4 linked regions of the Diceros bicornis minor genome follow. The protein of the gene in region 1 interacts with the protein of each later gene in a pairwise test. Links are inferred from orthologs where the notes say so. Each region holds a gene or a part of one and is shown in the gene's direction. Other genes may lie near its edges. The genes, in order: SAT1, DIPK1B, RBM17 and DMRT3.

Region 1 (6,834 bases):
CTAGTTTCAGTTAACCTTTGCTGTGTAACAAACCACCCCAAAATTGAGCAACTTAAAACAACCATTTTATTGGCTCATGATTCTGTGGATTGATAACATGCGCTGGGATCAACAAGGTGGTTCTTCTGTTAGTCTTTCCTAGAGTCACTTGTGTGTCTGCAATCATCTGACAGCTCAACTAGGATTGGATGGTCCAAGATGACCTCACTTACGCACGTGGCTTTTGGTGCTGGCTGTCAGCTGGACCTTTCTCTTCATGAGGTTTTTCATCCTCAAGGAGACTAGCTCAAGTATCTTCACATGGCAGCAGCAGTGTTCCAAGAGGGCATGAGCAGAAGCTTTACAATCTCTTGACGTCTTGCTTAGAAGTTGTATACCATCACTTCTACTGCATTCTGTTGGTCAAGGCAAGTCACGAAGCCAGTCCAGATTCAAGGAGTGGGGAAATAGACTCTACCTCTTGATGGGAGGAGCTGCAATGAATCTGTGCCATTTTTAATCCACTACACTGTATATACCAACTGAATATCAGCCCTGCATGTATATGTACATAAAAAAAAGACTGGAAGGAAACCAACCTGTTAACAGGGATTATTTTTATCTTTTTATATTCCCGCACTTCTCCAATTTTCTTAATCAGTAAGCATTACTTTCATAAACATAAAAAAAATTTGACATCTTTCATAATAGTTTAATAGGGCAGGTTGGACAGCTTCACTTTGGCACCGAAATCAGCCGAATTCCTTCTCCCCCAGCTCTACCACTTCCCGGCTTTGGCAATTTTGTAACCCCTCTGAGCCTCTGGTTTTCTCAGTCATAAAGACGGAGCTAACATTACCTATTTCACAAGACAGTTGTAAGGATCAAATGCGACAATGAATATAAAGCACCCACACCCACCACGTGCCTTGGCAGAGACATGCCTTGGCGATTTCCCTTCCTCCTCTCCCCCTACTCAGACCTCCTCAGTTATAGGAATTCTCTTTCTCACAAAGATTAAATTCTGTTTAGTAAACTACACACACTCTCTAAAAGTAAACTGTATGCCCTGAGGGCTGGTTTCAAAACTTAGTCCTCCTTTATAACCCCCAAGTACCCAGCACAAGACTCAATAAATATTTGTTGATTTGTTGACTCATTAACCAAATAAAAGTTTTCCAAATGCAAGGCAGTTAATCCCTTTTTATGCAGTTTTAAATCTAAATTCCAGTATCAAGAGGGGGTAATGTTGCTTATCCATTGCATCTATCTATTCATGACAATGGAAAAGCCTAACTTGATTCACTGCCATGAAGAAAACTCAACTTTCTGAGGGTTCTAAGCTTCTACATGTGCACAAACACAATCACAATGAGCTTTCGTCAGCCATATGTTTTTCAGAATAGGCTCTTCCTTGTCATAATGGCAAAGTTGAACATAAGAGCATGAAACTTAAACTGGAAAAACAGGATAAACAGAAAAAAAATTATAATGCATTTTAATGAAACAATCATTATTCTAAAAAACTAAGCAACCCAAATTGAAAATGGTCTTGTTTTTGCTTCAATGAGGCAGCTATCATTAGTCACAGAGGTCTAATTTACTGTTATCAGTAAATTTGTAACAAGCTCTCCTTCCGCCTCCCACAAGTAAGACCAAAGCAGAGGAGGGAAGGGCCTATGAATGGTCATCAGTGTGTCATGGTGTCAGGAAAGACACTACCTGGATTAGGTAGATGAGAATCAATGCTATTTTTAAAGATCTTTGAGAAAGACACTGCTTAAACTCCCACCGGACGGTGACTCACTATGCATGACAGCCCCAGAGGGTGGGAAGGGTAAGAGAGAACCCACTTTTGCTTTCTTTTTTACATACAGGATATTGCTAACAAAGGCAGAGAATCACTTGTTGAATGTTGGGGGAGGGGGGTGGGAGTGGTCATTTGGTGATAGTCCAATCTCTCATTCCACAGAAAGAGAACGCTGCAGGCCCCTTTTATGCTTTCTCTTTGACTCACTCCGGAAACCAGGCAGGACCCTAAGGAAGGTCTGTCTGGAAAGGTGGGTTGTAAAAGAAAACTATATCTGTCAGAGGCTTGAATACTTGTTCCAGTGGGTACAATCCAGGAATAGCTTTACCTAATCCAACTCTTCTCAAACATTTTGCTCCCAGGACATTTAAAAACTATTGAAGAATCCAAAATGCATACCTTCAAAAATTCCAGAAAACATTAGAATACATAAGCACACATTCCTTTAGTCACTAAAGCAATGATGTCATCACACATCCCGTAAATTTATAATTATTTCAAAACAGAAAGTTAAAAAAAAGGGAATAAAAAGAAGCACAGAGGATGGAGCAAGTAGGGATTACAACAGCAGCAACGGAAGCCAGAAGATAGTCAGATATCATCAATATGCTGAAAGAAAATAACTTCCAATCTCAAATTCTGTCAGCAGTAAAATAAATCCTTCAAGAATTTTAAGATGAATTAAAGATATATTTAGACAAGCAAAACAGAAAATTTTACAAAAGCAGACCTTCACTAAAGGAAATTATGGAGAGTGTAACTCAGGCAGAAGGAAAGTGTTTCCACAAGGAAGGTCAGAGATTTAAGAAAGAATAAGAAGGGACAAAAGTAAGAAATAAAACCTTGTGTTAATTCTAAAAATTATAAGTACAGGAGTCCCCCCTTATCTGCGGTTTCACTTTCTGCAGTTTCAGTTACGGTCAACAGCAGTCTGAAAATATTAAATGGAAAATTCCAGAAATAAACAATTCATAAGTTTTAAATTGTGCGCTGTTGCGGGTAGCGTGACGAAATCTTGAGCCTTCCCACTCTGTCCCGCCCAGGATGTGAATTATCCCTTTGTCCAGTGTATCCACGCTATTTATGCTACCGGTACCCACCCCTTAGTTACTTAGCAGCCATCTCAGTTATCACATGACTATCCCGGTATCACAGTGCTCGTGTTCAACTCACCCTTATTTTACTTAATAATGGCCCCAAAGCTCAAGAGAGAGCAGTGATGCTGGCACTTCGGATATGCCCAAGAGAAATTGTTGTTAATTTCTTACTGTGTCTAATTTATAAATTAAACTTTATCATAGTTATGTATGTATAGGAAAAAACATAGTATATACAGGGTTCAGTACTATACCCAGTTCTAGGCATCCACTGTGGGTCCTGGACTGTATCCCTTGCGGATAAGGTGGGACTACTCTACAGGCGGAAAACTTATTGAGGAATCCAAATAACTTACCTTAGGAAATTCTGTAAAACACAAGAGTACACAAGCACGCATTCCTTTAGACATCAGAGCAATGACTTCATGACACAACAGGTCGCCTCTGGAAAATTCCAGCGAGAGTGAAAAAGGCAAAGGACATCTTACTATTATTATGGAAGTACTTTTGACACAGACTCCCTGAAATGATCTTGGGACCCACAGGGCCCCCGGATCACAATTTGAGAATCGCCTCTCTATTCCCTTCATCACCCAAGGCCAGGTCTGAGTTTCCTTTCCTGACGGGTCAAGGAAGAAACAGCAAGGTCACTGGTCGGGGGCCACCAGGGGAATTGCTCTCTCCCTTTCGCAAAGGTTACTGGAGGACACGTAGGCTCCGAGGTCGGGCTTCCGGGAAGGCTCCACGAGGCGCCACTAGAGGGCGCCGCTAGAGAACCCCGCCGCGCACCCCGCCCACCCCACCCGCTGGCCGGGTTCACACGGACGCCCGGAGGAGAGGGCGGCGCCAGGAATGGGGGGAGGCGGGCGCGGCCTCATTGGACGAGGACCGTCCGCCTCACGGCCGGGGGCGGGGCTTCTCCGCGCTAAAAAGCAGAGCCGAGCGGCGGCTCGAACGCGCAGCTCTGGTGGCAGTCAGCTGGAGGTTTTTCGTCGCTCACCGAGGTTCGCCGGGTCATGGTGCCAGCCTGACTGAGAAGAGGACGCTCCCGGGAGACGAATGAGGAACCACCTCCTCCTGCTGTTCAAGTACAGGGGCTTGGTCCGCAAAGGGAAGAAAAGCAAAAGACGAAAATGGCTAAATTCGTGATCCGCCCGGCCACCGCCGCCGACTGCAGTGACATCCTGCGGCTGATCAAGGTAGCCGAGGCCCGGGCTCCTCCCGGGGCGGGGTGGGAGGTGGGCGGCGGCTCCATTTCCGGGAAAGTCCGCGTCTTGCGCAGGTTCCCCTTTCTCCCCCGCCTCCCCAGCCCCAGCCGGGCTGGGCAGGGCCGCGCCGCTCAGCTCCGGCCAGACTCAGGGAATGAATCGCCACCCCGCCCCGCCCCCTCCTTCCCTCTGAGTTATCCGGGCCGGGGCCTCACTTAGTTTTCTGCTTCTCTCCCTGTCTCCTGTGTGCATCGCCCCAGGAACTGGCTAAATATGAATACATGGAAGAGCAAGTAATATTAACTGAAAAAGGTAATGTATCAGTGGGGGGCGAGGGACGAGCGTCCAGTACCTGTCACCTTTACCGAGGCCAACACTGTCTGTCCCTGCTGCCCCTTGCAGATCTGCTAGAGGATGGTTTTGGAGAGCACCCCTTCTACCACTGCCTGGTTGCAGAAGTGCCCAAGGAGCACGGGACTCCGGAAGGTAACCGTCCTCCCGTTTCAGAAGCCAAAGAAACCAAGTGTTGTGTAAATCGTAGTGTCTGCTGTGTAGAGAACCACTTACAACACAGGCCGAAGTTACTAAGAAGTTGGCCAGAAATAATAGCCAACCAGTGTTCAGACTACTGAGGAAAAAAAATAGATGTGCGGCACTTAATAATAGGGCGGGTTAAAAGAGCTGTTTAAGTAAGTATCAGAGTGCTGTGGAGACCCGGAAGAGTTAGGTATAATGTCATTTGTTGTAGTTCAGTTTCATAAATGGTTCTTGTTTGACCCTAACGTAACCTTTTTTGTAATTGTTAAATCACATTTTTTTCTTTAATTTGTCCCAATCTTCAGGTTACAGTCTCTAGCTTCGCCATGTACATGGCCCTTCCGTGTACATGGATGGGCGGGGAGGTAACTAAAAGATCCTTTACACAATAAAGTAGATGATCATGATAAATGAGGTAAGGTCCTATTATCACACACTTAAAACACGGTAGATCAGAAACTCCATTGTACTCGCTTCCTGTCTGTGTTTGCAAAGGACTATAAAATGGCTAGAAAGTTTAATTTGAAACCTTTGCCTCCAGTTGGAATTACAGACACCCATAAGAGGATGTCACATTTTGTTTTGTTTTGCTGGTCCCTGTTGACTGGTCAGAAGATAGCGCTAAAAGGGGAAGTTGTTGGGGTGGGTGCTTAAGTTTTTTTCTGACATCTGTTCCCCAAGCTAGAAGAAATGAGCAGAAAACGTAAGGGGTGAGGTGCTTTTTAGAGGGATGTGGATGTTACATAATACCTGTTTCTGGGTATCTCTGCTTCTTCTGGCTTAAAAACTGGGGAGAGCAAATTGAAAATGTGTGAATTGGAAGGCAAGTTCTGAAATTAAACGTTGCGTTTTTTGGCCTGATGTCCTGACCTTAAGGAAGCAGAGTTTCTAAACTACAAATATTTACTATTCTGAACTGCCGTGTAAACCTGACTTATTCCCAAGTCAACATACCAGTATATCAATAGGATGTGAATAATGTGTGTGTTTAGTTTAAGACCATAGCAGTTTCGCTCTGGCAAATAATGAAAGCATTCTCGCTTCCTGAGTATGAGATCCAGCAGATTGCAGAGTGGCCAGTCCACAATTTAAGCCTGGCTTCAGCTAGCTCTAATGTGTGCTTTTTGCAAATACATGTTTTGAGAACAGTGAGATCATCCAGCAGTGGCCTGGACTGCACTAGCATAAAAGTCAAGAGACAGTCTGGTTCAGTGGCTACTTATTTTTATAATACATGCATGTGTATTTTTTAAAACCTATGATAGGCCTCTGATTTTGCAGCTACAACTTTTATGGATTACTTTTCATTCACATCTCATGTGATACTCTTATTACAGGACACAGCATTGTTGGTTTCGCCATGTACTATTTTACCTATGACCCATGGATTGGCAAACTATTGTATCTTGAGGACTTCTTCGTGATGAGTGATTATAGAGGTATGGTTGAGTTCAGGGGGAAGCTCTAAAGAGAATCAGGTCTTGAAGTCTTTAAGATGATTTTTTAAATGGTACTTCTCTTTCTTTTAGGCTTTGGCATAGGATCAGAAATTCTGAAGAACCTAAGCCAGGTACATTTTGATTTTTGGTTTCTGAATTTGTAAGAGTTATTGGATTATTTTAATGACTGAATCAAAATTGGGTCTTGGAAATGTCACTGAGTTTGTTTTACTCTCCCATATAATAGGTTGCGATGAAATGTCGCTGCAGCAGCATGCACTTCTTGGTAGCAGAATGGAATGAACCATCTATCAACTTCTACAAAAGAAGAGGTGCTTCTGACCTGTCCAGCGAAGAGGGATGGAGACTCTTCAAGATCGACAAGGAGTACTTGCTAAAAATGGCAGCAGAGGAGTGAGGAGTGCTGGTGTAGACGATGACAGCTTCCATTCTATTTTAGAATAAATTCTCAACTTATCTTGCTTTCTATCCTGTTTGTAGTGAAATAATAGAATGAGCACCCATTCCAAAGCTTTATTACCAGTGGCGTTGTTGCATGTTTGAAATGTGGTCAGTCTGAGATGGCAATCTTGTATGCAGTTCGGAGTCAGATTTCTCCTTGAACATCTTTTTGATAAACAACTAGGTGGTGTGATCTTAATGTATATGAAAAAAACTTCATTCTTGTGAGTCATTTAAATGTGTACAATGTACACACTGGTATTTAGAGTTTCTGTTTTGATTCTTTTTTAATAAACTACCCT
Region 2 (7,529 bases), on another chromosome or scaffold:
GCGCAGTTCCACGTCCGTCCACAGTCTGTTCCTCTGCCTGGAATGCCATTCCTCCCCCGGCCCCCGACCCCATCCTTTGCGTCTCAGTGCTTCTCCGGGCCTGGCCTGGTCCTGCCGGTGTCCCCACAATGTGCTGGGCTCCCCATTCTCCACACCTCCCAGAACACCCGTCTGAATGGAACTGTGACCCCTGACCTCAGCCCAACGATCAGTGGGATGGGCCATGTCTGGAAGGGCCATCTGCCCGGGGGCCTGAGTTTCTATTTCTCCATTTTCCTGCGACATACTTGTGCCTGAGACTGAGGGACACCAGAACCCTGGCACGTGGCTACTCAGAGAAAGACTACATTTCCCAGCCTTCTTTGCAGCAAGTAAGGTCATATGACTAAGCTCTGGCCAATGGGATGTGAGCAGAAGCAGTATGTATTTCCAGGTCCCGTCTTTAAATGGAAAGGCAAGCTCTTCACTTCCCCTTTGCTCCTCCTCCTTTCTGGAGTGTGGAGGTGATGGCTGGAGCTGGAGCAGCCATTTTGGACTGCAAAACAAAAGCCATGTCTTGAGGATGCCAGCACCAACAAGGCAGAAGGATTTTAAGGCCCTGACACGTGGGGTCTCAGCCCTTGAATGCTTACACTCAGAGCACTACACGAAAGGTAACTACACTTCTCTCCTGACTAAGCCAATTTTATTTTGGGGTCCTTTGATGAAACTTGTTGTATTTTCACTGACTCTTGTGCTGTTTCCAATGATGTAGCTATTTGGTCTGCGTAATGGGTTGGGAAGTGTCCCCAGATTCATATCCCCCTGGAACTTCAGAATGTGGCCTATTTGGAAATAGGGTCTTTGAAGGCCATGTGAAGACACAAAGACAGGGACTCCTCTCACACAGGGAGACAGCCATCATATGACAACAGGGGCAGAGACTGAAGTGGCCACAAGTCAAGGAACATCAGGATTGCTGGCACCACCAGGGGCTGGGAGGAGCCAGGAAGGATTCTCCCCTGGAGCCTTTGGCGAGACGGCGGCCCTGCTGACGCCTTGATTTCTGACTTCTAGTCTCCAGAACTGCAGGAGAATAAATTCCTCTTGTCTTAAGCCACTCAGTCTGCGATATCGTGTTACGCAGCCCTAGGAAACCAATACAGTTCACCACGTGGACAGTTACAGAGTAAAGCCTCCTCTTTGTGGGGCCGTGACCTGCGGAAATGAATTTCAGCTGCTGACCGAACCCTCTGGGCCACGCGCGGGCGCTCGTGGCAGGGCCTGCTCTCCACGGGCCCGACCCAACGCAGCTGCTGGCGCAGCCTGCACCTCCCACTCTACCACCACTGCCACCTGGACCCACCACGGCTCCGGGCTTGGGGACAGCCAACATCACAGACGGGGCACAACCTAAGGGACCTGGTATTCCTGATGCAGAGGCAACTGCCGTCTGCCAGACAGGACTTCTGCCCGAAGCTGGTTCATAGGTCTCACAGTGGGGCAAGGGGACACTGCAGGGGGCGTTGACCCCGGCTCCTGGCTGATGGACCCCACTTCGACCCCTCTCAGGGCTACGGGCTGTGCCTCACCAGCTCACCATGGTGCTGTGTTTTGAGCCAGTCAGCGGACTGCCACAACATCGTGGCCCCTGAAACTCAGCGGTGTCACGTTCTGGCTTCATGCGCAGTCTGACAATGGTGCTTCTTCTACTGCAAAAGCCGCCCAATGGGGGCTGGTGGTCAAGGTGCCAGAGGCCCTTTCACGCTTCCCATGGCCCACAGACCTGGTATTGCCGAGCACTGGAATGGCCTTCTCCAAAGTCTGCTGGAGAAGATTTCTGACTCCGCCTCTGTCCCCGCTGTCTTGCCCACATGCCTTAGGCAGGCAGCTCAGGCCCTGAACGTGAGTGTCCCCAGAGAGGAGCACCTCTGTTTGGCCACCTCCTTGGTAGTGACCAGGATGAAAGGGCGGAGGGGGGGCTATCTAGATTCTTCCTGACTCTCCTGAGCAGGGTGCTACTTCTGTCCCCTAAGGGTGCCCTTTGGACAGCCGGGGTGGTCCAAAAGGGGGCCCAGGAGATGCAAACTTAATTCTGGTCCAGCCACCTGGACTCTCCCATGGGACCGACACGGCCCTAGATCCAAGGATGACAACCACTTGGTTGAGGACATTGGGTGCCCAAGGGTGGGCCATGTGGTCAAAAGTGTGGAGTGTGGTGGGTCTCAGTAAGTTTTACAAAAATGCCCACAGCCCTTTTGCACCTGACCTTATCAGTCGGGGTCCCATCAGGAGACAGAAGCCACATGGCAATTTGAACAGGGAAAGTTTGCTATGAGAATGACTAACAGGAGTGGCGTGAGGAGCAGGGACAGGAGTACCCTTTAGGGCTGACCCCCACCCCCAGGCTGAGGTCTTGTTGGGAGGGTGCAGCTGTGGCTCATGGGACAGCAGAGAAGTCCCTGTGGTGCCGGCAGAATTGCTGGAAGTCTGCCGTCTGGAACGTGCCAGAAAACCTGCCTCCAGGATGCTGGGAAAGCTGCTCACAGGGCAGAGTCTCCCTGGAGGTGAGGAGCTGCAGAACCACCGGGGGGTCATCTTTCCAGCAAACGCGCTGGAACAAGTGAATATCCACGTGAAAAAACCCCAACAAACAAAAACCCCGAAACACAAAACACAAAACTAAAACACTACTTTGACCCATAACCTTGCACCAAAATTTTTATTTCACTGAAATTGAATCATCGACCTAAATGTAAAACCTAATACTATAAAACTTCCAGAAGAAAACACAGAAGAAAATCTTTGTAACCCTGGTAAGGCAAAGATTTCTTTGATGTGACACAAAAGGACTCACACAAACCATAAATAAAAAGAATGATAAACTGGACCTCATCAAAATTAAGAACTTGCATCCTTGGCAAGACACTGATAAGAAAATGAAAAGACAAGCCACAGGTGGGGAGAACATCTTTGCAAATCACATATTTGATAATGCACTGGTATCCAGAAGACATAAAGAAGTCTCAAAACTCAATAACAAGAAAACACAGTAAAAAAAAAAAAAGATGGGCAAAAAAATTGAATAGATACTTTGCCAAAGAAGACACACGGGTGGCAGCTAAGCACAGGACAAAACGTTCAACATCATTAGTCGTGAGGGCAATGCGAATGACAGCCACAGAGAGGCACCACTGCGCACCTCCTAGAATGGCTAGAATTTAAAAACTGACAATACAAAGTGCTGACGAGGATGTGGAGCAACTGGAGGTCCCGCCCCCGCGGTGGGAATGTAGATGGCGCAGCGGTGGAAAGCGTCTCCGCAGGTGCCGGTGAAGTTACACCGTCCCTGGCCACACGTGTCAGCAATCTCTCCTCTCCCCCTCCCGAGTGAACTGAAAACTTACCTTCACACAAAAACCTGAATGCGAAAGATTGTGGCAGCTCTGTTCCTGGTCACCCCAAGCCCGAACCAACCAATGGCTGAGCGCGCTGGGCATCTGTGCCGGGAAAGCCACTCGGCGAGGAAACCCAGGGACCGAGTTTCCATGCGCTCTGCCGCGGGGAAGGGCCAGACCCGAAGGCTATCACCACTTTATCCCATTTCTGTGACCCTGACACGAGCCAGAGCTTGCCAGGGCTGGGGCTGCGGGGAGGGCTCGAGGAGAGGGGGGCCCCGGGTGTGTGCTGTTCCCTGTCCCGAAAGTGGAGGTGCCTGCCCGGCTGTATTGTAAACACTGGCAGAGGCGCACGATAAGAAAGGCGCATTTTACTTGGTTCCGTAAAGAAACGAAAGGAACAGGCAAACGCCGCCACGGCGTCCACCGCCCCTCCAGGCCGGGTGGTTGGCACGGGACCCCCACTCGCGGCCTCGCCCCGACATGTCCCCCTCCCTGGGCTCACTGCCCCTCCCGCCCCTGCCACGCGGGGCCTCTGCAGGCTGCCCGCCTCGGCCGCCGCCTCCCTCCGCGGGGGCGCCCCAATCACTCAAGGGTGCGGGCTGGGGGCGCGTGTGGGCAGAGCCTCGGCGCCCTTCGCCTTCTCACGGGGCGGGGGCGCGCGGGGGGAGAGCGGAGAGGTAGGGGCGGGCCGCGGGCGCCTCCCACCAGCACCGCAGGCCTCCCTCCGCGTCCCCGGCCCCCCACCTCCCTTCCTCCCGCGCGCCCCCGCGGCGCCCCCGCCCCTGTGCGGCCGCGCGCGTCCCTCTCCTCTGCGCGTCCCCGCCTCTCCTCTCCCGCTCCCCATCCTTCCTCTCCTCGTCCCCGGTGCCCGGCCCGCCCCTCCCTCTCCTCCGCGCGGCCCCGCCCCTCCTCTCCCCCTCCCCATCCCTCCTCTCTCCCTTCCCGGTGCCCGGCCCGCCCCTCTCTCTCCTCCGCGCGTCCTCGCCTCCCCTCTCCCTCCCCACCTCCTCTCTCCCTTCCCGGTGCCCGGCCCGCCCCTCCCTCTCCTCCGCGCGCCCCCGCCCCGGCCGGCCGTCAGAGGCGCGCGCCCTCCCGTGGACGCGGGCGGGCGGGGGCGCGCGGAGGGGGAGGAGGAGCGGCGGCCGTTGCGGGCCGGCCCGCGGGGCTGAGGCCGAGCCGAGGCGGGCCCGCGCACCGGCCGGGCGCCCACCATGCGGCGGCTGCGGCGCCTGGCGCACCTGGTGCTCTTCTGCCCCTTCTCCAAGGGCCTGCAGGTAGGCGCGCCCCCGCCCCGGTCCCGGCCCCCTCCCGGCCCCTACACCCCCCCTCCCCGGCCCCTACAACCACCCCCCGCCCTCGGTGCCCGGGCTGCGGCGGGGGCGCGCGGCGTCCAGCCCTGGGGGAACGGCCCGGGTCCGGATCAGGACTCGAGGTTACTGAGCGCTGGGGTGCGCGGGCCCCGGCGCGGCTGGGGGCTGGGAGAGGACTGTGGGGGCCGGGGTGGGGGGTGTTGATGGGGCGAGCAGAGGGTCCCGGCGCCGCGGAGGCTGCGGAGCGGCAGTCCCCGCGCTGGGGCCGAGGAAGGCCTCCATTCCCCGCGGGCAGGACCCTGCTCCCTGAGGCCCAGAAACCACACCGAGTCCATTCCCTTTTCCTCTACTTATGAGATAAGGTTTTTTGTTGTTGTTGTGGAAAACTTGAGACACATACAAAGCCCTAAGAAGGACATAACCTCCCCTGGGTCATCTCCCAGCCAGCCTGAGCTTAGGGGTGTGCCCTGACCCCACTGTGACCTTGGACAAGTCACCGTCCTTGCCAGGAGCCAGTTTCTGCAGGGGAGGCCCGGGCTGCCTTGGGTGCCAGCTGTCAGGAGCCCTGTCACCTCTGCTTTGTGTGGTCCAAGCCAGGCCCACATCCCAGTCTCAAATCCTCCAGGCCCACCCTGTGACCCGGATGCCCTCCAGGATGGCCCTGTCAGAGCTGCCCACACCTCCGTGGCCTCCCCAGGGCTGTCCTGGGGCCAGAGCAGGAGGGTCCCTGCCAGGGCCGTGCCCTTGGCTCAGGGCCTGGCTGGCCTCAGCTCCCCACCCGGGAGAAGGGTGGGAGCCAGGAAACACGCCGGTCGCATGTCTGTGCCAGACGCCCTCCCTGCCTGCCTGGGGCCTTGGGGTGCGTGGTGGTCTTGGTCAGCTCTGGGCAAGGCGGGAGCTGAGGGTCTGAGGGTCCACCCCACAGCAGGAAGCAGAGATGTGCACTGGCTCCTGTCCTGAGGGAGGGGCCTTGACCAGGCTGCTGCCGGGGAGGCCCAGAGCAGCCGGCTCCAGACCCTGGGCACTAGGCCTCTGAGCTCGGCACAGATGGGTGGTAGAAGGGTTCCGGCAGATTCCCAGTGGTCTGAGCCCCGCCTCACCCCCGTCTTAGTGTTGGGACACTCTGAGCCTCAGTTTCCCCACCTGTGAAACACCCTCCTGGGTTGGTGGTGCTTGTAGGGCATTGGCCATGGGTCGTTCACCGTTGTGCTGTTACTGTCCTGACTGACCCTCCCCATCCTCCAAGTGGCGTCTCCAGGAGCCTGGGGGGGGCGGGGCTGGGGGGGCAGCTGCAGGGCCCCCCCCCGCGATGAGTAAGACCCGCCCTGTCCCAGGGGCCCACCCACCAGTGGGACAGGCCCCCCTGGGAGGGGGCAGGGCAGGGAAGGGGATGGGGGTCAAGGACTGGCCCTGGAGGAGGTGCTTGCTGAGGGCGAGCACCTGGGGGTCGGGCGGAACCAGCCAGGTGGGGACGGGGTGCTGGGAGAGGGGCCGCCACGCAAAGGCCCGCAGCCCTGGGGGTCTGGCGGGGGAGCGGGCAGTGTCTGGGGTGGGCCCCGCAGGCACTGTGAAGCCCAGTCCGCCCACGCGTCCAGCACTGGCTATAGCCAGCCCTCCTCCTGCTGTCCCCCAGGACCCCCAGCGCCGGCCTTCAGGGCCCTCTCCGAACTGAAAGCCCACCCAGAGGCCCCGCCCACCGCTGCCCCAGGACGTTGTTCACCACCGGCCAAAGTCCGACCTTGTCCTGCCAGAACACCCCCCTCCCTCCCCCGTCCCTCCACTTTCCTGTTGTTCACTTTGAACACGTCTGACGGAAATAGGCACGGTAGCGGGGACAAGTGGGCCTGAGGCCCAGCCCCTCACTCTGCCCTGGGCCAGTCCCGCTCTTCAGTGGCCACTGAGGCTCCGGGCCTGCCCCCGACTCTCGGGGTCCTCCCGCTGGAGCTCCTCCTGGGAGGCCAGCCTGTGAGTGGGTGCAGGGAAGCGGGAGGGGAGACCCTGGCCCGTCCTCGGTGGGGAGCCGGTGGCCCCATTTCTCAGGGCCAGCCCTCAGCCTCCAGCTAACCAGGACCCAGGACTAACCAGGATTGCAGCTGCTGCCCGGCCCGTGGGTGGAGGGCATGTGCCAACGCTGGCAGTGGCACCTTCTCTGGGGGCAGGCTGGCCTGAAGCCCTGGCCTCCTGCTCTTCGGGCCGCTGGGGCTCAGCCACCTGGTCAGGTGTCCCAGCCCCTGTGTGGGACAGTGCATGGCAACCCCGTCCCCTCGGCTGACCACTCTGTGATTTGCCAGGGCAGGGAGTGGGGAAGGGAGGTAGTGCCCCTGGAATCTGGGCTTGGGGGCTGGATGGGAGACAGCACCCTCCAGGGCGCCAGGACCCTCATATCCTGTGATTCCACTTGTAGCTGGGGAAACCTGGCAGAGGGGCAAGGCCTCTGTAGAAGCAGTTCCCATCCTGGCCCACCCTGAACATCTGATGGGCCACCCTGGACATCTGGGACAGAGCTTCTGGCAGTGGGGCCGGGGCTGCGTCTCTTATTTATTTATTCTTTATTGTGGTAAATCATGCGTAACATAAAATTCACCATCTTAACCACTTTTAAGTGCACAGCTCAGTGGCATTCAGCACATTCACGTTGTTGTGCAGCCGTCACCACCATCCGTCTCCAGGACTCTCTCATCTTCCCAAACTGAAGCTCCGTCCCTGTGAAACACTCACCCCATCCCCTCCCCTAGCCCCGGCACCACCATCCACTTCCTGTCTCTGTGGGTTGACTCCTCTAGGGCCCCCGTATAGGTGGGATCCTACAGAATTTGTCTTTTTGTGACTGGTTTATTTC
Region 3 (7,971 bases), on another chromosome or scaffold:
CTTTTCTTTTCACTCACTTCCATGCCGCTCCTGGCCCTGTCTCCCTACTGGAAGTCTCCACTGGGACTTCAGCCCCCACACCTTGGCCACACCAGACTTCAGGACAGAGAGAGCAGCCCACGCATCCTACTTCTCCCTCACTCCCCTCAAAAGGAAGCATCCAGAAGCGTCCGGAGCCCCCGAGAAGTGTGGCTCTTTTCTCGCTCTGTTACGGACTACAAAAGTGTGTGTCTCCCTCAAATTCATGTGTTGAAGCCCTACTTCTCAATATGATGATATTAGGAGGTGGGGGTCTGTGGGAGGTAATTAGGTTTAGACGAAGTCATGAGTACAGGGCCCCCAAGATGGGATTAGTGTCCTCATATGAAGAGAAAGAGACCGGAGCTCTCTGCACCCTGTGAGCACACAGCAAGATGGTGGCTGCCTACAAGCCAGGAAGCTGGCCCTCACCAAGAACCAAATCCGCCTGCCTCTTAGACTTCCCGCCTCCAGAACTGTGAGAAAATCAGTGTCTGTTGTTTAAGGCCCCTAGTCTGTGATATTTTGTTACAGCAGCCCCAGCTGACTAAGACACTCTCACGGCTTTTTGCTCAAACAATTTTCATAGGGAATTTCCATTTTTATGGTGTAATTCTACACCATGCTACATGAGGATTAAAGTGAAGTAATGTAAGTAACATGCCAGTAATATAAGGAAAGAGTAAGGCCTACACAATCAGGGTTCTGCATTTAGCGCTCAAAAAATTGCCAGCGTTGCTTAACCAGAGCAGCTAAGAGAATAGCCCGTTTCCTTGTACAAATCTGCCTCTCTTGGGTTATGGAGATCTTTGCTTGGTGCCTGTCTTGTAGGATGTGGAGTGGGAAGATTGGCTTTCTTACTTCCAAGTCCTGAGCTGCAGATCACTCCCATTCTCTGCTAATGGTCAGGTTCAGTTTTCACTTCAAGCACTAAGTCTTTATCAATTGATTTCTACAGGGTTTGCTCCATCTAACATACTCTGCAAAATACCAGGTGCTATAGATGGAATGTTTGTGTCCACCCAAAATTCATATGTTGAATCGTAATCCCCAAAGTGATGGTATTAGAAGGTGGGGGCCTTTAGGAGGTAATTAGGTCATGAGAGTGGAGTTCTAATAAATGGGATTAGTGCCCTTATAAAAGAGACCCACCCCCCCCCCCAGAGAGCTCCCTTGCCCCTTCTGACATGTGTGGACGGACTAAGACACCAGGCAATGCTTACTTATTCAGCTGGCACCTGCATGGTCCTGCAGTTGCATTCGAATAAATAACAGACCTGCAAATAAAAAAAGAAGAAGAATGAAAGCACGGAGAGAATGGCTGGCCGGCTGGTGGGCTGCATTGATAAGTGCGTAGACCATCATGGGTCCAGCTTGTGTTCTCTTCCAAAATTCACCCAGCCTGTGGGCAAATAACCTTGTTCATGTCTATTTCATCTGTTCACCAGGTCTCTGGACCCCGGGGATGAGTGCCATGTCCTATAATCTGTCTACTCACCTCCTGCTGCAGACTGGGTGGAGCGACAGCCACGGGTCTACCTTGTCTCTCTCCAATGGGATCTGGATCTCCTGCTGGGTTGAGCCACCGCCTGCTGTGTCTAAAACAAAGTTCCTTCCACTGAGAATTCAGTCTTTCAACTTACCAGTCACTGCACGTCTTCTTACCCCCAGGCTGCCCTGTGAAGGGCATGCTCCCTAGAGTTGTACGCACCCTGCGTTCACACCCTGACTTTCTCTTCCTAGTTGTGTTACCTCTATCAAATTCTTCAATATGTCTCAATTTTTCCCACCCCCCTTCCCTTCAGCCAGGGCTGATATGCTGTGTGGTCAACCACAGGATGCTAGTAGCAGCAGTGCCCTTTAAGAAGCCTTCGGATTCCTCAGCTAAGCCTAAATTTGAGAATCTGGTCTACATATGACCCTGAACCTAAGCCTGAGCACGTTTGAACTGGCAATCTGGGTATCCCTCCCGGAATGATGCCCCTGCTTTGGAAATCCTCACCTCTAAAATGGAGCTGACTCCACAAACCCAAGTCTCCAAGCCAACCCCAGAAATAAACCCTCCGAAGCCAGGACTGATTCCTCCAAAACTGCACCCAGCACTCCAACCCTGAGCACGTTGTCTTACTGCCAGAACGTTCTCCTTCTCACCTAGAGCTGATCCCCAAAGCCCGGGGAATGACCTTACTCTAGGACTGAGAATTTCTGTCCTGATGCTGTACTATTTTATTTAGGATTTTTGCACTGAGAATCATAAGTGAGAATGGGCTACAGTTTTCTTTGGGCTGTACTTGGGTGTCACTACTGTGCTAGCTCCATGGGAGAAATTTGAAGCTTTCCTTCTTTTTCTATGCTCTGGAACAGCACATCAGAATTCACTGGCCCTAAAGGTCTGATAAAATTCTCCTGCGGAAACATCTGGACCTGGTGCTCTTTTGGAAAGGCTCTTGGCTTTTCTTCCCAATTTTTCCTGTGATAGTTGGTCTGTTTAAATTTTATAACTCATCTAAAGTCCATTTTGAGAGATTATGTTGTCCTGAAGAGTATCTGTCTCTTCCAGATTTTCCAACTTATTTGATAAAACTGAGCAAGGTCATCTCTTAAGATAATTTTACTTTCCTCTGTATTTGGAATTAATTCTTCTTATTCCACATTTTGTACATTTGTGCTTTCTCCCCTTTTTCTTGTTTAATTAACAGCTCACCTATTTATTTTCAAAGAATCATCTCTTGGATTTATTTTTTTAACTCTATATTTTTCTGTTTTATATACCATCAATTTAGGCTTTTATCTTTATTAATTACATCTTTCTGCTTGTCAAAGGTTTATTTTGTTCTATTTCTAACTTCTTGCATGGGTGCTTAATTTATTTAGTTTATTCTAAATTTTTAATTAATATAATCCTTTAACACCATGAGTTTTGGGGCCGGCCCCATGGCTTAGTGGTTAAGTGCACGCGCTCCACTGCTGGCGGCCCAGATTCGGATCCTGAGCGCGCACCGACACACCGCTTCTCCAGCCATGCTGAGGCCGCGTCCCACATACAGCAACTGGAAGGATGTGCAACTATGACATACAACTATCTACTGGGGCTTTGGGGGAAAAAAATAAATAAATAAAATTATAAAAAAAAAAACATGAGTTTCCTCTTAGTACTATTTTAGCTAAATCCTATGGGTTCTGATATGTCATTTTCATTTTCACACTTTTCTAGGTATTATTTATTTGTTTTTGTTTTCCTTTTTGATTCAAATGTTGTCTAAGCATTTAAAAATTTCCAAGGGGTAGGAATGTTTTATTTTCTGTTTTATCATTAATTTCTAGTTTTATTGAATTCTGATGAGATAATATTATCGATATGGTTCCACTTATTGGAATATATTAAGATTTTCTCTGTGGCCTAAAATGTGGCCAATTGTTGTGAATGTCCCAAGGATACTTAAAAAGATGTAATCTCTGTTTCAGGGTACAGAGTTTGATATATTAGATCAACCATATTAATTATATTTTTAGATCTTCTTAATCCTCAGTTATCATTTATGACCTTAATCTGGCAAGGACTACAACAATTATTTCTGACTATTCATTCTCTTTATATCTCCTCTAGTGTTTGCTGTGAATAATGAAATTATGTTATTTGGTGCATAGATATTCCTATTTTTTTCTTCACTGTGAATTTTAACTCTTGTGATTATAAAATGCTCTTCTTAATCTCATTAAATGCTTTTTGCTCTGAAATCAACCCTGTGTAATAGTAAGTTTGTGATCTGTTATTTCTTTATGCTTGTATATTCCTGGTATACCTTTTCCAGTCTTGCATTTTCAGACTGTGATAATCCCTCTATTTTGTGCATTGTCTTGTATGCAACATAGAGTTCTGTTATAGTTTCTGTTCCAATCTGAAGTTGTATTATTTTTTAAAATAGATAAATTTAGCTCATTTACATTTATTCATGTAAGATGTTTGGTCTTAGTTCTGTCATATTGTTTTGTTATGCTTTCTGTTTTGTAGCTTTTTCATATTTCACTATGTGATTTTGTTTAGTTTGTTATAGTTGTGTTTTGATAATTTGAAAGGTTTGTACTTTTGTTCTGGGTTACCATAATAATGATAATATTACTTGATGTCCTAATCATCTATTTCTTCAGATTGTCTACTGACAACCTACCATATTTCTTTCTTTTCTCCCTTTCCTCCCTTTTCATAATCACCAGATTTTAGTTGATTATATTGTTTCTTAGCATGTTCCTTTGTACTAACATGTATACTTAAATCTCTACTATTTATCAGCTTGAAATATTTTAAACCCCAATTACAGGCGTGAAAATCATATTTACACGAAATCCTATTTTCTCTTTTCCTCCCAACTTTTGTTATATCATTTTTAAACTGTGAGGCTTTATAACATTTACGTTTTTTCTATCACCCTAAACTCCATGTCTACTGTTTTCTTAGTCGTACACTTAATTCAATGCTTGCTGCCATTTCTTTTGCAGCAGTTTCCCGTTCATCTCGCCTCGGGGGATTTGTTTTCAGCTTTGTGCATAGAGATCAATGGTTTTGAATGAATGAGAACGAAGGGTTAGGAGGGATTCTCCCTCTCTCTCCTATTAGAACGCACTTGGCTCCCAAAGACGATCTTTGCCGCCTTGGACCATTTCTCGTCCTCACCATCTGGGGTCACTGCCGGGCTCTCCTACGAGTCTGAAATTTCACAAACTTGCGCCACCGCGACACCTCTTGGCGGCAGAGCAGGACGCCGGCGGAGTGGAGGTGCAGTGTGGTCCTCCGGCCGGCAGGCGGCGCGGCGACGAGGCGCCCGCGGCGCAGGCACAGGAGCGCCTCTCTCCCGGCCGCACGCGCCCCCTGACCCCGCGCCGCGCGCGCCCCGCGGACTCGGCGTAGGAGTTGGCGCCGGCTGGGGTCCGGCGTCGCGGGTCACTCCGAGGGCGCCCAGCCCGCCCCCTGCGCGGCGCCTCGGCCCCGGTGTGCCGCCACGGCCCATGGGGAGAGTCGGCCGGGCGGCCCGGGTAAGTGGCGCCGGGGCGGGCGGCCTGGCGGGGCGCCGGGGCGCGCGCCTCCCCGGGCGGCGCTGGACGCGAGGCCGAGGCTTTAGGCCGCGCCGCGAGGGGGCGGGAGGTGCCGGCCGCTGGCGCCCTCGGCCTTCAGCCAGGCCCCGGCCGACCCTTCGCGTTTCTCTTCGCGCCCCGCCGCCGCTCTTGTCTATTTGCCTCGGGTCCCCAGGCCCTCTCCCTCTCCCTCTTCCTCTCTCCTTCCTATTTTTCCCTTCCCGTCCGTCTGTTTCCGTCCGTTTTGGACCCGAGGACGTTTTCTCCTCCCTTCTGTTGGTGCCGTTGTGAAGTAGTTGCTCGGTCCCTACGGTAGCCAGGCCCGTATTACTTGTGGCCCAGCACGTCTGCTCCCCTCCGGGGCCCGGGGAGTGGGGAGGGAAGAAGCCACTTCCTTCCCCGGCTGCAGAACGGGGCCTCCAGAGGTTGACAGCTCTCCGAGTCGGGGTTTACCTGCAGGGAGACACGACTCCGGCGTTACTTCGGTCCTTGTCCTTCTAGAGCGGGGTTTAGCTCTCATGTCCAGTCATCGAGCATTTTTTGAGCATCTCCTCTTGCCCAGATCATATGTTATGGACAGCGGATGCAAGAGAAATAAGATTCTGTCCTTGCTCTCGAAGTTTAGTCTCTAGGGACACAAGCATAGAAATCCTTGATCTAAGGGACTAGAGTGGAGTCTGGAAAGGCTTCCAAGAGGGGGTGATGCTTATAACTGAGTTTTGGAGGTGTTTTGTTAGATGTGCAGGATGGGGAAAAGGTTCCCTGCAGGGCAGGGGAGATAAGTGTCAAGGCAGCAGAAGAGAAGCACTGTAGTGCATCCTGGAAACTGCGGGTAAGGCAGAGAGAGGTGTGAGGAGGGGTAGTCGGGTCAGATCAAGAAAGTTCTTTGAGAAGTCAGTAAAGGAGAACCGTTGAAGGTACTTACTGGTAGAACCCAGCATAGGAATGGAAAATAGGATATTCTGGGTAAGGGCAAGATGCTGCATGTACTCAGGTAGATGGGGACTGTGCCTCCTGGCAACAAGTGGAGTGTTTAAAGGATGCAACTGAGTTTCCACATTTTTAGGGGGTAAAGACAGCAGACGTTTTGACTATAATAAGGATATTTAGGGACTATGGGATAATATATTAGTAACTTAAACCGAGGGTGTTTTATTTTTAGAATTTTATTAAGAAATGTGCTGCATGCTGTACAGTTTAGAATAGAGTAGATTGTGAAACAGAGAAAAAGATAACAGGGTGTAATAGAAGTGTTATCAGGGCAGAGCTATTCTGATTGTGGAGTACTGTGATAACTAAAAATAGCCTTTATGGAAAATAAGAATTTGGGGAGAGTTGTTGTGCGTTCCCAAATGTAACTTTATAAAGTGGATTTCTTTTTACCTGGTTTGTTTTAAATTACCTTCAGAGAACAGATGATCCAGGGCTGGTAATCTCTCAAGTCTTTCCTAGTAGTCAATAGTGAAGGACGTTCTGTTACACACCTCGATTACAGGTGACTCTTGTGGACTTTGTCTGCAATACACTCCAGCCTAAGGTATTTTGGTAATCATAGAATCTATGAGAATGGGTGGAAATGCTAAACTGTGACAAGGGTGTCAGGGTTTTGGGGGAAAGATGTTTTAATTCCTTCAAAAGTCATTATAAATCTTATATATGAGGCAGATGCCTCTTATTACCTGTATTTTTGGTGAACATCAACGTGCATTGACCCTCATGGTTCCCTTCCTGCTCCTTTGTGTCTGCATATACTTCCCATATTCTTGAGGCTTCATTTTCGCTTTATGATACATGAATTATCATTTTAGTGGTAAAAAGCTCTGCTCTTACCAAGCCTGCTGTTTAGGTGCTGAGAAATCAGACCTCGACTCATTATTAGTTGTGTGGTGGTAGTAGTTTTTCTTCTGTTATTTATAGTATACAATTTAATGTTTACCATACTTATTAAATCCCACTTACCATAACTTATGTCCCTAAAAGACAGATCTGGATATCTTATTGTTTTATAATAATGTGATTTAAGGAGGTGCATTAACATTTTCCATCCGATCACTGATAAGTTTAGAAAATATCAAGTGCTTGCAATGTTCCGAGCATGATGCTGAGCTAGAGATACAACAATAAGACAAAAACAGCCCTTGGCTTTAAGGAGCTTATCATGTAGTAAGAGACAGACGTGTCAGCCATAGGCAGCATAACATGTGAAGGTTGCTCTGATCCGAGTGTGTTCAGGGGAAACAAATGGGGCATAGTTTTATGTGGGGGTGGTAGTCACCAAAGGCTTCAGAGATGCTCTTGAGAGATGAGTAGGTGGGGTGCTTCTGAGAAGACTTGTTCCATGTTCTTTTTCTGCCAGTTGCATGTGTTTAAAAAAATACTCTGCCAGCTTAGGTAGAATCTTGGAAAGTCATCATTCTTCTGGCAGGACCATGTTTACTGTGTTTCTTCTTAAGAAAAAAAATGGAGCATATATGAAAGATGTGTTGATCAAAGGGTAGTGTTACCATAAAAAAGTAAGTAGTGAGCAGGTATTTTAAAGAAATTATGAAAACCAGCTGTTTGTATTTGTGTTCGATCCTGGCCTCTTAAAGTATATCCAAATGTTAGAAAGTGCTACTTTTTATTACCTGGCTCCAGACTTCGTGAAATAAATGTGTTAGATCATCTAAGTGACATCCCAGCATTAATTAGGTTCAGTTCAGGTCCTGGCAGAGTCTTGTCAATGCCCTTGTTACATTTCAGTGGTTGCAGTGGGGAGAATGAATGAATCAATTATGGTGTATTTATAAGTGCTTAAAACGGCTAAAAGATATATACACGCCTTTCAAAGAATAGATGCAATAAAGCTATGTAAATGAAATTGTATGAAAGGAGGAAAGCAAG
Region 4 (7,858 bases), on another chromosome or scaffold:
GTCGCACCCAATTTCCCTGGGGTGCGGGCGGCGCCCACCGTTTCCCCTCATTATTCCCGGGCCCCTTGAACCGAGCAGGGACTTCTTTTCTGGAAGCCCGCACATCCGCCCGTTTCCCCGCAGCCGGGATGCTCCGGTACAGCAGGGACGGGAAGGCAGAAGGGGCTCGTCCTGGAATGGAACTGCACCAGCGCCCCGAGAGCGAACACTGGGGAAAAGAAACTGTCTTGTCCCTTGAATGTTGCTCTAATACCCTAAAAATATTTCCTTGGCTATTTTATGTTTTGTTTAAATTTTTAAAGTCGCAGGGGAAAGGTTATCTTAAAACTGATTTCAAGTCAGGGCTGTTCTCATTTTACCTTGGAGGGTACATATTTTTTCCTTTTTCATTTGCACAGAAGACAGAGCCTGCAGGCCGCCCATTGAGACCTTCTTTCAAAATGGTGTGGGGACGTGACCGACAGCCTCAGCCGACCCCACGCCCTCCTGCTGCCCAGCGCGGGGTGTCCGCTCGGCCCCGGAGCCCCGCCCGCGCGCTCGTGCGTGCAGGGCCGCAGCCCAGAACTCTCGGGGACTTCGTAGGGCAGCGGACAGGCCGATGCCGGAGCGGGAGTTACCGGCTGCGCCCGGGGCCTCCAGGGGCGAGCCTGGGCCCCAGCCCAGTGGGGACCGCTGCGAGGGCGCGCTTCTCTAGTCCTTCCCTTCGAAAGTGCAGGGCTGGGGTCGCCGCTCAGTGGGCCCCTCGGATGAAGTAATGCAGGAGCAACACCCCCACCCCAAAATGTGAGGGCGGCGCGGCCTTGTGTCTGGGCTGGAATCTGCACCGATGGGAGCGCTGGCTCCCGGGCATGAAGCCCCTGCTGGCTTCAAGAGTTCAAGAACGTGCAAGACGGAGCAGCACCTGCCTGGTCTGCACGAGGCCGGCGGGGTTGCAGGCCGTTCTGCCCTCCCCTTTGCTCCAAAAGGCCTTGGCCTCTGAGGATCCTCAGGCTGCCCACTGCCAACATGGTGTGGGGGACATGGCCGTCTAGGACCTTCCTTCTGCTCAGCGGCGTCCCCCGGGCCCGCCTGATGCAGCTTCAGTCACCCCGGCCGCACGTGGTCTCTGCCCTCCGCTCCGCGCCCCAGAGGGCCTCTTCAGGGATGCCTTGGGGGGTGCACACGAATTTCTCCCCAGTTAATTGAGGGAGAACAAGGGCATTGCTGTCACCTCAAAAAAGCGATTGCTGGTTGCCCCACCGCCTCAAAGATATTTGTTCCCCCCTTTCCATCTGAAGCTGGTCGAAGAGCGCTGCCGAGAGGCACGGACAGGGTGACAGCTGAGAAGTCCCTGCGCGAGGAGAGGGGTCTCGTTTTCCTGCATTTAAAGTGTTTTCTGCACGCCCCGGCCTCCAGCGTCACCGTAGTCTCGATTAAAACGGCAAAATAGGAACCCTGACCTTCAGCTCCATGAGAATGCAGCAACGCAGAAAATTTCCTGATACAGTATACATCCGGGACAAGATGAAACTGTCGTTTTGATTAAGCGTTGCTTGCGGTGAGGAGCAGCTACCAGGACTGCCAGATGTGGAGGCAGAACATCCTCCGTTTCTCAGCGAGGGCACCTGCATTCTCAGCTTTTAGATGTACACGCACCGTGAGATTGTGTGTGCGCCGAGCGAGAGAACCACATACGCACATTATCTTTCACCCTTTCGCTGTTAATACCTGTCACAATTCTACCCGGTTAATTGTGGTTTGAAAACACACACACACATACACACACACACACACTCCCCACCCAGAGCAGAACGCGAGTGGATCCAGTCTAGTGAGGTTACATTGACTTGTAATCCTCCCCCCTCCCTTTCCAATGTCTTGGATGATTTTTCCCATAAGTGTGTAAGCCGCCGGGACTTAGCAGAAGTGGGCCGCTCCTCCTAAATGTGATTCGGACCATATGCTTTCTACATTCATTCCCGCTCCGGCTTTTCTTCTCCGCACTAACTGCTAACACGTTATAGTCACCTTGAAATTTCCTCTGCTATTTTCCAATTAAAAGCTTAATAGCCCTGGAAACGGAGTTCATGTGGTGAAGTTTACCATAGCCCCTTGTTCTGAAAGGCTTTCTGCTGGGATCCCATTATGTGCTTGAATAAACCCTTTCTGCAAACAGAAATGGGACTCCGGGTTGTCAGGTGTTGGGTTACAATAGACTTTGAGGCAGGGGACATTTTACCAACATAAATACAAACCTGTCCCTATAGGGAGATGTTGTCAAATACTGGGATATGGAAAACATTCCCATCAAATATGAGAAAAGGATTATTGCGCTATATCAAACGAGTATTTAGATCTCAGCCCCCGATGTGCACTGAAGTGAAACAGGGCCCTGGGACCAAATAATGCCAGACTGTTTGAGTGGCAAAGGGATAGGGTGGCTAGGTGACCGAGAGGGGAAAGGGGTTGTCTTGGAAGTGGGAATACCCCCCAAACCTCTGCTTTCCTTTAAAATTCTTTACTCCCAAGTTCCTTATACTCCCGGGTTTCCTTGACCATTTGGAGAAAATCGGGAGAAATTTGGCTTTGAAAAAAGTCCATGTTCCTCACGTTCCCAAGCGACCCGGAGATTTCAGTGGGGAAGTTCTCAGATTCAGTGTCATTCTAGGCCCTGTACGTCTCATCACGTGAAGCGACTTGCTGCCCCACTTCTTGGCCTCTGGCTCACCGGGCTGCGGGTGACCTCTGCCTCCAGTCCCGAGAGGTTATCAAGTTCCTTCTCGTTGTAGTGTTTTAGGGCTTTTCTTCCTAGCGAAACTTAGGAAGAGAGGAGATATTGAAGCGGTGGTGGGGTGGGGGGTTTAAGGGGCAAGACCCCAGGGGTCCCTGCCCGACGCAGCTTCGAGAGGAGGCCTCCCAGGGTTATCGCTCTCGTGCAAGAGTTTCCTGCAAAGGCCCCACCAGGTCAGCCTCCAGCGATCCCCAACTCCCGGACAGGTCTGAAACTGGGGACGGCTAAGGGCTTCAAAGGAAACACACACAACCGTGTTCCCTTTTTAAACCTCTTCCCCTCTCAGAATCCCTCTTCCAGGCGGAGGGTTGGCTAGAAGAACGCCTGGCTGTGCTTTTACTCGAATTCACAGCACAGAGACATTTTCGGATTGCTTGTTTCCAGGCAGTGCAGAGAAAAGTGGCCTCTGCGAGGGTACAAGGGGCGAGGTGCAGCCTAACGGTTGGCCACTGCAGTGGACTCATCTATGCTCTCATCTCGCATTCGATTCGCTCAGACCGCCAAGAGATGAGCTCAGTTTCTGCTCTCAGAAGCCTGCGGACCGACGGCTCCGGGATTGCCATCTCCACGGCTTCGCACTGAGGCATTGTGCTACCCTGCGCCGCTGTATCCACCTGTTTTTAGTTTTCGTTTTTTGATTTGGGGGTCCCTGTGCATGTGTAGCGGCAGTCTGCATTAGGCCAAACCGGTACTCGTAGGAGATTAAAAACACGCAAATAACAGTTTAAACAAAGTTTTATGCTATCCAAAGACGCTGGGAGGAGTGGGGGAGGAAGTGGCCCCATCCTTTATCCATAACTAAATCACTGAGTCCGTGGGGATTTGAATTGGGTGACGAGAGGCCTCCGTTTGATGGTTCAGCGGCTACTGGGGCGAGGGGAGATCATATCCGGTAACTTTGGGGACGCTAACGTGGCTCCTTCGTCCACGCTGAAAGTTTAGACGCAGCACTTAAGCAAATCCTCCACACGAGCAGACAGAGGATTTCAGGACAGAGACTTGTTTTTATCAAAACGTGGGGAGGAGGGTAGAGAAACTCCGCGCCAGAGAAGGAGGGCTGTTTTTCCCTTTGAAATAGCCTGCAAAATGGGTTGTCATCCTTGGGCCAGCAGGTTTTCAACACTTTCTTCTACAGCAACAAGATAAAATATGTGTTGCAAAAGGAAATCAAGAGCGAGCCGAAATTTCCCGAACCAGTGCCCTACAACCAGTGGCCGTGCGTGGGGCCAGGCTCGCCCCAAATTAAGACCTTCTCGGCTCATGCCGGGTCCCGAGAGCACCCGCAACGCTCCAGTAGGCCCTGGCTCTCGCGAGCCGAGTTTCTTCGGCCAAACGTTGGGATAAAAGCGGCCTCGGGCTCGGTGCCGCCAAATTAGGCCTGCAGGGAGAAAAAGAGAGGGTAGGGGAGCGGCCGCCTCACTCGCCTACAGGCACCCCACCCTCACCCCCGCCAGTCCTCCCCTTCCCCGCCCCGTGCGCACCGCCGCATCCCGGCGCGCTGCAGTCCCTCCCGTCGCGGGCAGGGGAAACGCAGAGCGCTAGGAGGAGGGGGCCGTGAGCGCCCCCGCGAGAGTGGCCTGGCTGCAGGTGGCAAGGAAGGTGAAGTGCAGGGACTCGAGGGGCGCGAGGAAGGAGGAAGGCGTGGAGTAGGGTGGGGAGTGCAAGGAGACCAGGACCCCGGGGGTGGGGGTGGCGGTGGGAGGGCGGAGGAGTTGGGGGAGGGCGGTGGAGGAGGTGCTGGGCCCGGCCTGCGCGCGCGGGAGTTGCGGAAGAGCTGGCTCAGACCTTAACCCGAACTGTCGCCGGCTCTTTGCAGCCGCCGCAGCGCCGCGGCGAGGGAGGACGTGCGGGCCAAAGCAGCGGCTGGCGGAGACGCGACCGGCGTGGGATTGGCGGAGTACCAGCGGGACACTGAGGCTGCGAGCGCCGCGGGAGCCGTAAAGACGGCTGCCGCACCTCCGGCCATCCCGGAGCGCACGCGGCCGCCGGGGCTGCGGGACCAAGGACCCCGCCATCCAGCGCCCCCTGGCCTGCTCCCGCCGCCAGCCCGCAAGCTCTTCCGGGAGCTCGGGGCATGAACGGCTACGGCTCCCCCTACCTGTACATGGGCGGCCCGGTGTCGCAGCCGCCGCGGGCGCCCTTGCAGCGCACGCCCAAGTGCGCGCGCTGCCGCAACCACGGGGTGCTGTCCTGGCTCAAGGGCCACAAGCGCTACTGCCGCTTCAAGGACTGCACCTGCGAGAAGTGCATCCTCATCATCGAGCGGCAGCGGGTCATGGCGGCGCAGGTGGCGCTGCGCCGGCAGCAGGCTAACGAGAGCCTCGAGAGCCTCATTCCCGACTCGCTGCGCGCTCTGCCCGGACCCCCGCCGCCGGGGGACGCCGCCGCCGCCCCGCAGCCGCCGCCGAACTCGCAGCCGTCTCAGCCGCCGCCTCGTCCAGCTGCCGAGTTGGCTGCGGCCGCCGCGCTGCGCTGGGCTGCCGAGCCCGCGCCCGGGGCGCTGCAGGCACAGCTCGCCAAGCCAGGTAAGAGCGTCTGCGGGGCGGGAGCCCGGCCAGGCGCGTGGGCAAAAACTTCCGAGCTCCTGCTGAGGCTCTGCCTGGGAGGCCTGGGCGGGCCTTCCCCCACAATCCCCGCCAAGCCAGTTCTTACTATCTGGGCAGAAGCCGGCCTTCAGTCTGCCTACCGCGCGGGTAGCATCCAGGCGCCCGCGGGCGAGCCAAATGGCTGGATTCTGCGTCGGGATCGCCAAGTGCCTTGCCCAGGTTAAAGGTGAACGTGTCCGTTTCAGCGGTAAAGAGATCGAGACCGGACCCGGTTAAAATCCAAGCGGGCACACATACCACCGCGCGGCTGGGCTTTTCTGACTGCGGTCCTTAGAGGGCCTTGCATTTGGAGGTAGGGACGGGTAGGTGCAGGGAAGGAGGCAAGGCCCAAGGCTTGTCTGACTTTGAGTTGGGCGTGCTTCTCGGCCCGGGGGAACTAGAGCGAACCTGAAGCCTTTCTAGTAGCGCTCTGTGGTTTCCACTCTCTTGCAATAGCTGAAAGAAGCCCCATTGAGAAGCAATAGTAAATAAAGGGCCAGAAAGGCGCCTGAACGGATAGCGAGGACCCAGAATCTGGCGCGCCCAGAGTCAACTCCTTTTGCAGAACCGCTCAGGTCTTTTAACACTGTTCCTCAGGCTACCCTCATCTGTTTCTGTGGTTTAAAAAAATAAAACAAAACTTAACCGACAGTGAGGAAGGCCCCCTCTGGCAAGCCCTTTCCCCGTTCTAGGCGGGGAGATCTGCTAAGCTGCCAGTTTCGAGCAAAGGATCTCTGAGTCCTCTTCCTCTCTTCCCCTCTCATCTCCTCTGCTGTGCTTTAGAGAGAGTTTCCCCTGAGCCCTAGAGGTGGACAGATTCCCCCAACCCCCTGCTTCCATCTCCTTCCCTCCTCCAGGCCTCCTGAGCCTGCAGGCTAGCAGTTGAGTCTCTCTCCTCCTGGGGAATCTCTAGCTTGCTGTCCTGCCCAGCCCAAGTGCTCCTTTGATTTTAGGATCTTGGAATTCAATGGACATGTGTTTAGTGTTTTCCCTTCACTGGGGCAAATGTATAAAGGAAAAGAGGCAGTCCTCTTGGGGAGGGGATTAGAGGATATGCTGAAATTCGCAGAGGGAAGGCCTGGAAGGCCCAGAGTCCTGTGTAGGTGGAACTGTGGTAGAGCTTCTGCCTACCCCTCCACCCTCCAAAAGGACAGTACCTCTAGCTTCTGGAGAGAGGCTTCCAGGAGCATTGAGCTGCTGTGTGGAGCTGGGGAAGTGCAGGCTTATTGGTTGGGGAGGGAGTTGATAGGCAGCCTGGCAGGCATAGTTGTGCTGCCCTGTTGCTCAGTTATGCTCTCTAAGCCTGAAGCTCTGAGAACATCTTATGTGAAGAGCACAACTGGGTATTTTAAGGACGGAAGAGAGTTTGCTGAGCATGGATTTTGTGGCTATTTAATCCAAGGTAGGGTATAAGCATTTTTCTGAGTAATACCCCCCCCCATTGTGTCTTCAGTCTGATCACTTCTTATTTGTAGATTTGCCACAGAGGAATGGAGGGTAGCGTGTTTTGTTTTTCTCTTTTAGGTTAGAACAAGTAACTGGGAAAGTGTCTCAGTTCTGGAAGTTGATCTGTGCCAATAACTTCCCAACCTTTCTGTTTCCAGTTTCCCTGTCTCCATTTCTCCCAGCACCGGGGCAGGAGTCTGAGTTCATGTCAGTGGTAGCATTTTGCAGTGGCCACCTGCCCAGCAGCACCCCTGTAATAGGGCATTGGGTTCTGGGGTCCTTGTCCAAGAGGGGAATCTTCTCCCATCCTATGCTTTTCAAACCATTCTCTGGGATAGCCACGTTTGTGGTTTCTAAAGAGCCACAAAACCAACAACCCTGGGAGGCGACTTGTGAGGGCAGGAAGAAAAACCCAGTAGCAGCTGCAGCAGCAGCAGGATACATAGTTTGGGAAAATAAAAGAGGGAGACTGATTTCAACTGGACAAACCAGACCTGGTGCTCTCTCTCACTCGCACCAAGTATTCAGGGATAGCCTGAGTCCTCCAAACTGAAAACAAGTGATTGCAAAGGAGACTAGGATTTATCACAGGGAGGGGTCAGAGCGATGTCTCAGGGAGATTGAGCCATCAGGGGCCAGCGGCTCAGTTTCCACCTGGTCATGCTGCATACCTTGCACATTCATTTATAACTTTCGTTTTCTTTTTTAAATTGGTTTGACCCCATAATCTCGTTCTTTAAAAAAAAAAAAAAAGGCAGCCAATCATCAGTCTGATGAGGAGGTCAAGAAAAGAAGATAATTGTTTTCCACTAGGAAGGCAAGCACACAAGTGGATCATTTCTGTGCAATGCTTTGTAAAAAGGCCCATTTGGGGTTTAAGTTAGAGAAAAGTGCCTGGGTGAGACTACCTGTTGCTGTAGGTATTAGACCTTTTTTTGCAGTTGTTCTTATAATGTATTTGTATGTAACATACCATACATATTTAGAAGTATACCAGAAACTCCTGGATAAGTAGCTCACTACAGGTAGAGAACTAAGTGAAGCTCTATTCAAATAG

The links.
Region 2: the proteins of SAT1 (region 1) and DIPK1B interact in binary tests that used the Homo sapiens proteins (3 or more experiments, as listed by UniProt). The two-hybrid records come from large-scale screens. The link is inferred for Diceros bicornis minor from reciprocal best matches to the Homo sapiens genes SAT1 and DIPK1B.
Region 3: the proteins of SAT1 (region 1) and RBM17 interact in binary tests that used the Homo sapiens proteins (3 or more experiments, as listed by UniProt). The two-hybrid records come from large-scale screens. The link is inferred for Diceros bicornis minor from reciprocal best matches to the Homo sapiens genes SAT1 and RBM17.
Region 4: the proteins of SAT1 (region 1) and DMRT3 interact in binary tests that used the Homo sapiens proteins (3 or more experiments, as listed by UniProt). The two-hybrid records come from large-scale screens. The link is inferred for Diceros bicornis minor from reciprocal best matches to the Homo sapiens genes SAT1 and DMRT3.

The regions. Positions count from the first base shown.
Region 1 is NC_080781.1:19,986,467-19,993,300, forward strand, and holds the start of SAT1 (diamine acetyltransferase 1), read left to right. Parts: upstream 1-3,831; 5' UTR 3,832-4,019; coding exon 4,020-4,085; intron 4,086-4,354; coding exon 4,355-4,406; intron 4,407-4,496; coding exon 4,497-4,580; intron 4,581-5,968; coding exon 5,969-6,070; intron 6,071-6,160; coding exon 6,161-6,201; intron 6,202-6,317; coding exon 6,318-6,488; 3' UTR 6,489-6,834. UniProt on the Homo sapiens protein: Enzyme which catalyzes the acetylation of polyamines. Substrate specificity: norspermidine = spermidine >> spermine > N(1)-acetylspermine. This highly regulated enzyme allows a fine attenuation of the intracellular concentration of polyamines.
Region 2 is NC_080767.1:42,132,184-42,139,712, reverse strand, and holds the start of DIPK1B (divergent protein kinase domain 1B), read left to right. Parts: upstream 1-4,527; 5' UTR 4,528-4,591; coding exon 4,592-4,654; intron 4,655-7,529.
Region 3 is NC_080775.1:7,288,895-7,296,865, forward strand, and holds the start of RBM17 (splicing factor 45), read left to right. Parts: upstream 1-4,958; 5' UTR 4,959-5,049; intron 5,050-7,971. UniProt on the Homo sapiens protein: Splice factor that binds to the single-stranded 3'AG at the exon/intron border and promotes its utilization in the second catalytic step. Involved in the regulation of alternative splicing and the utilization of cryptic splice sites.
Region 4 is NC_080761.1:25,498,285-25,506,142, forward strand, and holds the start of DMRT3 (doublesex- and mab-3-related transcription factor 3), read left to right. Parts: upstream 1-4,844; coding exon 4,845-5,295; intron 5,296-7,858. UniProt on the Homo sapiens protein: Probable transcription factor that plays a role in configuring the spinal circuits controlling stride in vertebrates.